Danio rerio: one gene and its partner. The protein of the gene in region 1 binds, or shares a complex with, the protein of each later gene. Links are inferred from orthologs where the notes say so. Each region holds a gene or a part of one and is shown in the gene's direction. Other genes may lie near its edges. The genes, in order: bop1 and pes.

Region 1 (4,569 bases):
AACCAACTTTTCCCCAATAAAACTCTGTCAGTGGGATTGTGACTGTTACAAATATATTTAGGCCCATTTTACACAGGTTTTACCATATCTATTCATAATAAAAGATAAATATTTCTGTAAAATCACAATCCTTGGCCTTCATACTAATGAAGGTAGTGTTTATGAGGTAACGTTGGTTTAATATTTGCACATTTGGTTATTTATGAACTAAGTTACATTGTTTACCACGCTACTTTTACATATTCGGGTATCACCAGACATAGTTATGATACAAGATTAATTTTTTTTTAACAGTGAAATCACAATCTTGTGCCTTCATATGAATGGATGTACTGTTTAGGATTGAAGTAAAGTTGGTTTTATATTTGCACAGTCATTCATTTGAGTAGTCCCAGTATTGTTTACCACACTAATTTGAATATTCGGTCTGAAAATGCATTTAAGTATGACTATAAAACAACATTACTGCTATTTAATTGCCTGTGAACAACGTTGTACTTTGATAGTCATTGGCTGCTAAATGATTTCTATATTTATAATATGCAAATAATAGTTTTCTGCAATTGCATTGCTGAGGAGAAAGTTTGAATGTGTCAATATAAAACAAAATGTACATCAATCTGTTCAGGCCCAAAATAACGCATTAAATATCTTTGAAATATCTCTTTTAAACAGTATCATACGCCATTTATGTCTATTTCTCACACATTTTCTCTCATATTAAACTTATGTAGAGTATAATAAGTTCTTAGCTGTGTATAACGTTAGGTTAATATAGCTTATTGTTGTTTGTTTATTTTTAATGCGTGACTAGCAGCGTGGTCTGTCTGAAACACACAACATTGCGTCCTAGTATAATCCTCCCATTAAGACGAATGACAATAAATCTCGACTTGACTTGAATGTAACTGTAATCCAGGTCAGTAAACCGTCCTCAAAGCGAGACCCAGAATAGACTCACTGGGCTCCAGCAGATCAGCGGGTCCGTGTCCGGATCCTCCACCAGCGTCCAGAGTTTGGTCAGAAACGCAGGCACATTGTTCCCGGTGACCACCACTCCTCCGGGCCCCACACTGTGATACTCCATCACGGAGAGTTTAGTGATGATTTCTGACGGTAATTAGAACGCTGTAACGAGTCACTGACGAAGCGCGGAGTCACCCTCGAGGTGAGGCTTTACAGATTAAACCGTTCAAACGAGCCGATATAACTCTCATCACCCCTTGAAGAGTCCGGATCCTGCTTAAAAAGTGATCGTTACGATTCAATCGAATCGATTTGGTGTTTTAGATGATCCAGAATAAGTGGAAAATTCCATTAAATCCACATCGCGTAGTAACTGCGTAGAAAACAAGAAGCGTTGGGAGGCGTCGCGTTGTGATGACGTAGGCGCGACGGATGTTTAAAAATATATATTTTTTTTTAGATTAATATAACTAAATACGAAAAATAAAAACGAAGATAATGCTATTTGGATTATTTTTAACCACTTAAAATTGTTAATCTGTGCAAATTTGAGATTTTAAAACGGCACGTATTTTACGTTAAACTTTAACCTTTTGCATCAGACGCAGTTGTGTTAAAACGCAATGGATTCCATCATATGTTATTTTTAAAAGATAACTCATTTGAATCAAATACGGGCTGGGTACAATTTATAAAAAAGTACGCCAAACAACAAGTGGAATAAATAAATAAATCGAACGCGTCACTGTTTGACCTTTCACCTCTTCGATTCAAACCCACATGGTCGCATTTTCAGCATGCGTCCAACTCACAGCGGCACCATGAGCAAATTAAAGAATAAGAAACGACATTTAGAGGAGAATGAAGAGGAACAGGTATGATTCGATGCTGTGTTTATGTAGTGTTGTTCTGAAGTACTCACACAGTAGTTTGATTCTACTCGTTATATAAAAACACGCGTGTTTATATAGCGCGCGGTTGACTTGAGGTGCTCTCACTTTATGAATTTGAGATTATTCATGGATTTAAACTTATATTATACAATTTATGAGTGTCAATTATGTATCTTCTCACGGCTAAGATGTCGGCCGTGTTTATAAACGTAGTGTTGTGTTGTGCTGTTAAAAATATGACTACCAGTCTGAAGTTTGAAAGCATTTGATGTAATATATATCAAACTAGTCATTTAAAGTCCTGTAACTGCCTGCTCTACCAAATGGTTGACCATGTTTTGACCGTTTAAAATTATGACTGTTTTAAAATTATGACTGTTTTAAATAATGGTTTACACACACAGCATTGAAGGTTTGCTGAAAAACCAAACATAATTCTGTTGCACTACTACACTTGGTTTTGGTTTTATTGTTAAAAACAGCAATAAAGCATGTTAAATGAGAATCTGAAATATTTATGGCATATTTCAAAACATAAAGATCATCTAGAATTCATAAATGTTTTGTTTTGGTCATGTTTTTAAATAAATTGATCAGGTTTTTCATAGTAAGTGTATTAATTCTGGTGCTTTTACCATAAACTGACTTGTCTACCATTTGGTAGAGGATAATATTTTAGAAATTATGGGATCTGTTGATAAAAAATGTATTGAGTGTGTTAACTAGCGACATTAGGAGTTAAGAAATGCTATCCAAAGATGCTTTTCTTGGTGGCACATTAAAGGGTTAAAGCCTTAGTGATTGTCCTTCTATATAAATTTGATCACGTTGTAGTTTTTAATACATTTCTGTTTAAATATGCATGTCATTATACAGTAATTGGTGTTTTAACAGTGAATTTGTTTTCATTGAGGTAAAGTAGGTTTTTATATTTGCACATTGGGGCTTTCTGTTTAATAATATTATTTCAGAAAAGTATTCTTTGCCAACAGAGTATATGCACACAGACTTTTAATTTCAGTCAGCCAGCCAGCCCCAGGACTTTAGTTGTTAATTGTCACCCCATACAGAATCACCACATCTAAGATCTGATTTCTTTAAAAAATAAATAAAAAAATCAATAATCTTCACTGCCTGGTGGAGATACAATATAAAGTGGGTCTCAGACTAAACAAGAAGCACTGCATTAAATAATTTTTGTCTGTAAAATATAGAAACTAATTTTACCATAGTACCCCATTACATTTTTAATGGAATGACTGCGCTCGCCTGCTGCTATTGACAGTGCCTGCTGTCTCTCTTTACACTTTTTATAACAACCAAATGGATGCTTAAGTCTATTTAACCGATTATATTTGAATTACATTACAACATCGATGCTTTAAAAGGAGCCGTATGAAATTGAAAACAGTCACATAAAGCTTTCACCTGAAGTTCATCATTGGCTGAAAAACACTAGCTGTGCATATAGCCCAAACTAAATGGAGACATACAGCATTGTTAATATATAGCAGGGGTGTCAAACTCAATTCCTGGAGGGCCGAAGCCCTGCACAGTTTAGTTCCAACCCTGCTCCAACACACTTACCTGTAGGTTTCAAACAAGCCTGAAGGACTCAATTAGTTTGATCAGGTGTGTTTAATTAGGGTTGGAACTAAACTGTGCAGAGCTGCGGCCCTTTTGGAACTGAGTTTGACACCTGTGGTATATAGCTACTCAGAAAACTAGATTCTGTTCATCATGCAGCAATACGCTTCGTCACAGGCGCAGACTCACGGACGCATCACTGTATTTTGTACGATTCCTTAGACTGGTTATCTTTATATCGAAGGAGATATTTACATCCATACTCATTTATTTTAATTAAAGGCTCTCCTAGGTAAATCACCACCATATCTTTGTAATTTGTTAGCATTTCACATAAATAACCAACACACTAGATCTGGTTCATGTATTCATCTAACACCGTGGTTCTCAAACTTTTTTCATCAAGTACCACCTCAGAAAAAAATGGTCTTTCTAAGTACCACCAAAATGGCCAGTATTGAAATACAATAGCGTAGCAGGCCCAGTAAAGCAGCTACACCTCAGCACAGTTAAAAAAAAACGTGGCAGATTACCTCAGGAATATGAGCTATATGGCATATTATATAGATCATTTTTAATAATTGTTTACAAGTGTGTAGCATGTACATGACATATTTCATTCCTCCGGGTACCACTAGAAGGAAGCCTGCGTACCACTTGTGGTACATGTACAGTACCACAGTTTGAGAACCACTGGTCTAACAGTCCCAAAGGTATTGTCAGAATTTGGCAAATGTGCGTTTTCCTTTTCTGCTCCCAGGGCTTGGAATGACCTGCAAAATCAGCTCAGTCTTGAAACACTTCCGAGTCCGACTACTTTTAAACATCTTTTGTACAACATCTTAAAGGACACCTGTAATTGTTATTTATGCTCTAATCTTTTTATGAAGGGTGATTTTGTAATTTCGTGGTATTGTGTTTGTGATTTTTACGTAAAACATATGTGCTGTCTGCCATCTTGACCAGGTCTCACTGGAAGAAGAGACAGTACTGTCTTAATGTGATCTCCTGGCTAAATAAAGGAAATAATAATAGTAATATTAATTGTTCACAGTCAAATTAATAGTGCTAATGTTGTTTTAAAGTCATACTTGCATGCTATTTTAGACTGAATGTATAAAAG
Region 2 (3,829 bases), on another chromosome or scaffold:
TATTACTTTTTTGTGTGGAAAACATATGTTGGGCTGCCCCTGACCAAATATTTTTCCATGTTTGTGTTATAACATTCATTTGCTATCCTGTTACTTGTTCTGTAAACAAAGCTTTTTAACTTGTATTCAGCTAAATCTAAATATAAAAAAGTAGTAATCTGGTCAGGAACTTTTATTAATATTATTAATAAGTTAATTTATATAATCTGTTATAGATCATCTGTGCATCAATGACTATATGTAATTACTCTTATTTATATTTTTTAATTAAATTATTTACACGGGGCTTCAGTGTTAAGGCTTTTGGGAGGGCGTGGCTAAAGTTGAGGCGCGATCATCATAGCAGCATCAGCCAATGAAATTAGTTCGCAATCAGCTACTGCGTGAGCCTGAGTATTTGCATAAAGCGATCTGATTTGCTGGCGCTGTTGGTGCTTGAAAAGTTAATAAATTCCAAACTTTTGCGTAGACGGATCCACAATTCAGTTTGGCAACCCTTGACATCACCCATTCAAGGTGAATGGGAAGTGTTGAATCGGGCATTAGAGGGCAACGTTAACGTTAGATTTTATTTTATTACTATCTTTTTTTAATTAAACAAACAGCATTTCTCTTAAATGTCACCACTTTCACTTTTGATCAATTGAATGCCTCCCCAAAGAATGATTATTCTGGGTATTTTAGTCTGGTAAAATATTAAAATGTTAATAATAAACTTTCTTTTCAGCATTTACAAATTTAGCTTAATTAATTCACATTCCTTTGAAGTGTTTTGAGCCGCCAAATGATTAATGTCCTTCCTGTCGTGTTGTCTTTGTATACAGTCTCTAAAATAAGTTTGTTTTCCCAGGTATCCCACGTTCATTGATGCTCTCCGAGATGTGGACGATGCCCTTTCTATGTGTTTTCTGTTCTCTACATTCGCTCGTACTGGAAAATGCCACGTCCAGACAATTCAGCTGTGTCGGAGACTCAGTGTTGAGTGGATGAACTACATCATCTCCTCACGCTCCCTAAGAAAGGTACATTTAAATGGTTTGAATTATAATAATTGTTTTTAAATGGTCAGTCTCTTTAATCTTCATCTGGAGAGCCAGCTGTTGGAGTGTTTCAGTCACTTCAGGCTTTTTGCACTGGTGTGCTTTCAGTTTAAAAATGTTACTTTAGAATAAAAATCCTCAAGTAGAGTAAAAGCTCCCTGTTTAGGCTGGTGTTTTTACTACATTTGAGAATCTCAGGATTCAAGCTCATTGAGTGTCTGCATATTTTACCAGCATTCATTCTTGCCATCTACTGTACTAATCAGGGAATGATATACAGCTTATGGTCATACCACTGTTACCGTGCCTGATCTTGTCTGATCTCAGAAGATGAATATACGCAGGACATCCAGCGGCTATTGTTTTTTTAGTCGGTCTACCAAAATCTATCTACACCGTGCCCACCGGGCTACCTATGAGCAGCACCAGACAATGTTGTAGATTAATTTTGGTAGCCTGGCTGAAAAAAACAATAGACGGGATGTTGGGCCACCAAATTTTGCGAGCCCTGCCCTGACACGATAGTCCAGAAGATATGTCAGAGGGCATTTCTGGATAGCGTTTACAAACTAAAAATGAGTCTTCATCATTTTCAAGAAGCTCCATTTTCATAGATTGAAGAAAAGAAATCAAAACTGAAAAATCCTGATACTGGATTTTTGGTACCAATCGATACTAACATTTTAAAAACGCCCATTTCCTGCTAACATTTAAACGCTGTTGAAAGCGTTCAACAGAAATGACTTATTGGCCCTGAAGGTCATCAGTTCTGTGTGATATGCGAACTGTACTGAGTGTAAGCACAGGTATAGGGACACTGGAGCGTTTCAAAGTTCCGTCAATCAGCTGATTTGTCTGTAAGCTGACATTCGAGTGGTCCGCTGATAATTCTTTAGGTTTTTAACGGCTTTAAGAACATGGTCAACAGTGCTCAAATGTTGGAAATTGACATTTTTAAAACTTGTGTCGTTTAGTACCAAATTCCTAAATGTTTTAGATGATTAGGGTTGTCAAAATTCTGAAAGTAAAGCAGCGTTTCTATCCATTGAATCAAAGACAACAAAATCATTATCACTTTCTGATAAACTGGGGCCAAATATAAAAACTGAGGTAAAAGAAGCCACTTTGGACCTTTTTTCTTGCATAATAAATTAATCTAAATTTCTCAAAAGATGAATTTTAATTAATGCACATTTGCTTTTGGAGGCATGACATGTTCTTTGGGAGCACAGACAATCAAGACAGTTCTGGAAGTTATAATACTGAAGCATTTTGATCACCGACTTTGGCTAAGGGATTTTAGACTAAATAAAAAAACAATATTTCAGATTTTTTACAATATGGTCGGCTCGCTGGTTTATCTGTTAAATCAAAATCACATACGTTTTGTTGATGTGCATGTTGGAATTTATTCGGCATTTTTGTTTGTTGGATTTTTTTGCAATGTTCCAAAACGCACATAAAAATATATGGATGGAAACATAGCTAGTGAAAACCGTAAATGGGGTTTGTCAGATAATGAAGTAAATTACCACCACCCTTATTGCTCATTCACTGTGAAGGATCTGGGTTTTATTGTGGACGGTAGCCTAAAGCTAAATAAACAAATCAATTCTGTCGTTAGTTCCAGTTTTTTTTTTTGGACCTTCGAAGACTAAAAACCCTCTCTAGGCAGAATTAGTTTTGAGATTGTAATTCATTCTTTTATACAGTAGTCAATGTGATTTAAAACAAATTTGTCCTAAAACTTTTAGAGGTCCAGTGAAATTAAAATAATATTTTTCTGATGTTAGAATCAGTAATGTTTTTAGGATATCTATAACTTCACGGGACCTTTAATCAACACCCTATTTTTGTCTGAAGAACAATAAAAAATTTGATCCACCTCAAATATTGACTACTATGTCATGACAGATTGATTGCTACAATTTGTTGTGTTGTGAGCTGCCTCATAATCTGATCATAGCCTCAGACTTCAGCTGGTGACATTTGCTGGTCATATTAGAGTGCCAGAGGGATAAAATCGTTCGAGAAATTCAGCAACGATTCTGAGATTTTTAAAATGCATCGCCTTGAATAGATTCTGAGCTCAGCTTTAGCAGCAGATGGTGTGTTTTAACCTTTTTCTATCACCTTTGATTGATACTGTTTTCTTTTTTTTGTAGGTTTTTCTTTCCATTAAGGGTATTTACTATCAGGCAGAGGTTTTGGGACAGACCATCACATGGATCGTACCATATCAGTTTGCCCATAATGTAAGTATAACATATTTTTGAAAACATTTTTGTGGATTCTTCAGTATTCATTCAGTCAATGACCTATGGGTCAGACTTTCGTTCACCGTTTATCAACGAAACCTGGAAAACTGAGAAGGTAAATATGGTCATTTTTCCACAGGAGTAGCTGAAAATTGATGCTGCTTTGTAGCATTCCAAGAATACAGGCTATTATTCTGTTATTAGTACTTGCTTGGGTGGCTCAGGTTTTGTGTATTTCTGTCTTTTTATATATTTACATATTCACTATCATGTTGAGGACATGTTCTCTTTCTGTGGATTGTTAAGGTACCAGTTATGGGAAAAGCTCAATAAAAAATAAATTAAACCAAACAATACACACCCTACACATCTGCTGTTAACTAACTCATGGTAACATGTACAGCACCTCTAATGACTATTGTTATTTAATCACTGGTCATGGATCATTATCAATATTTCAGATGCTGTTGTCCTTCTGCAGATTATTTTATGATGACTATTACATTGAACGTACTCATCGTGTTCCTGTTT

What was found.
Region 2: bop1 (region 1) and pes share a complex: the UniProt entries of both Homo sapiens proteins name them as parts of the peBoW complex. The link is inferred for Danio rerio from reciprocal best matches to the Homo sapiens genes BOP1 and PES1.

The regions. Positions count from the first base shown.
Region 1 is NC_133194.1:3,468,930-3,473,498, reverse strand, and holds the start of bop1 (ribosome biogenesis protein bop1), read left to right. Parts: upstream 1-1,733; 5' UTR 1,734-1,787; coding exon 1,788-1,841; intron 1,842-4,569. Other genes in the region: hsf1 (heat shock factor protein 1), read right to left, coding at 962-1,087. UniProt on the Homo sapiens protein: Component of the PeBoW complex, which is required for maturation of 28S and 5.8S ribosomal RNAs and formation of the 60S ribosome.
Region 2 is NC_133180.1:13,521,795-13,525,623, forward strand, and holds part of pes (pescadillo), read left to right. Parts: intron 1-850; coding exon 851-1,022; intron 1,023-3,205; coding exon 3,206-3,295; intron 3,296-3,829. UniProt on the Homo sapiens protein: Component of the PeBoW complex, which is required for maturation of 28S and 5.8S ribosomal RNAs and formation of the 60S ribosome.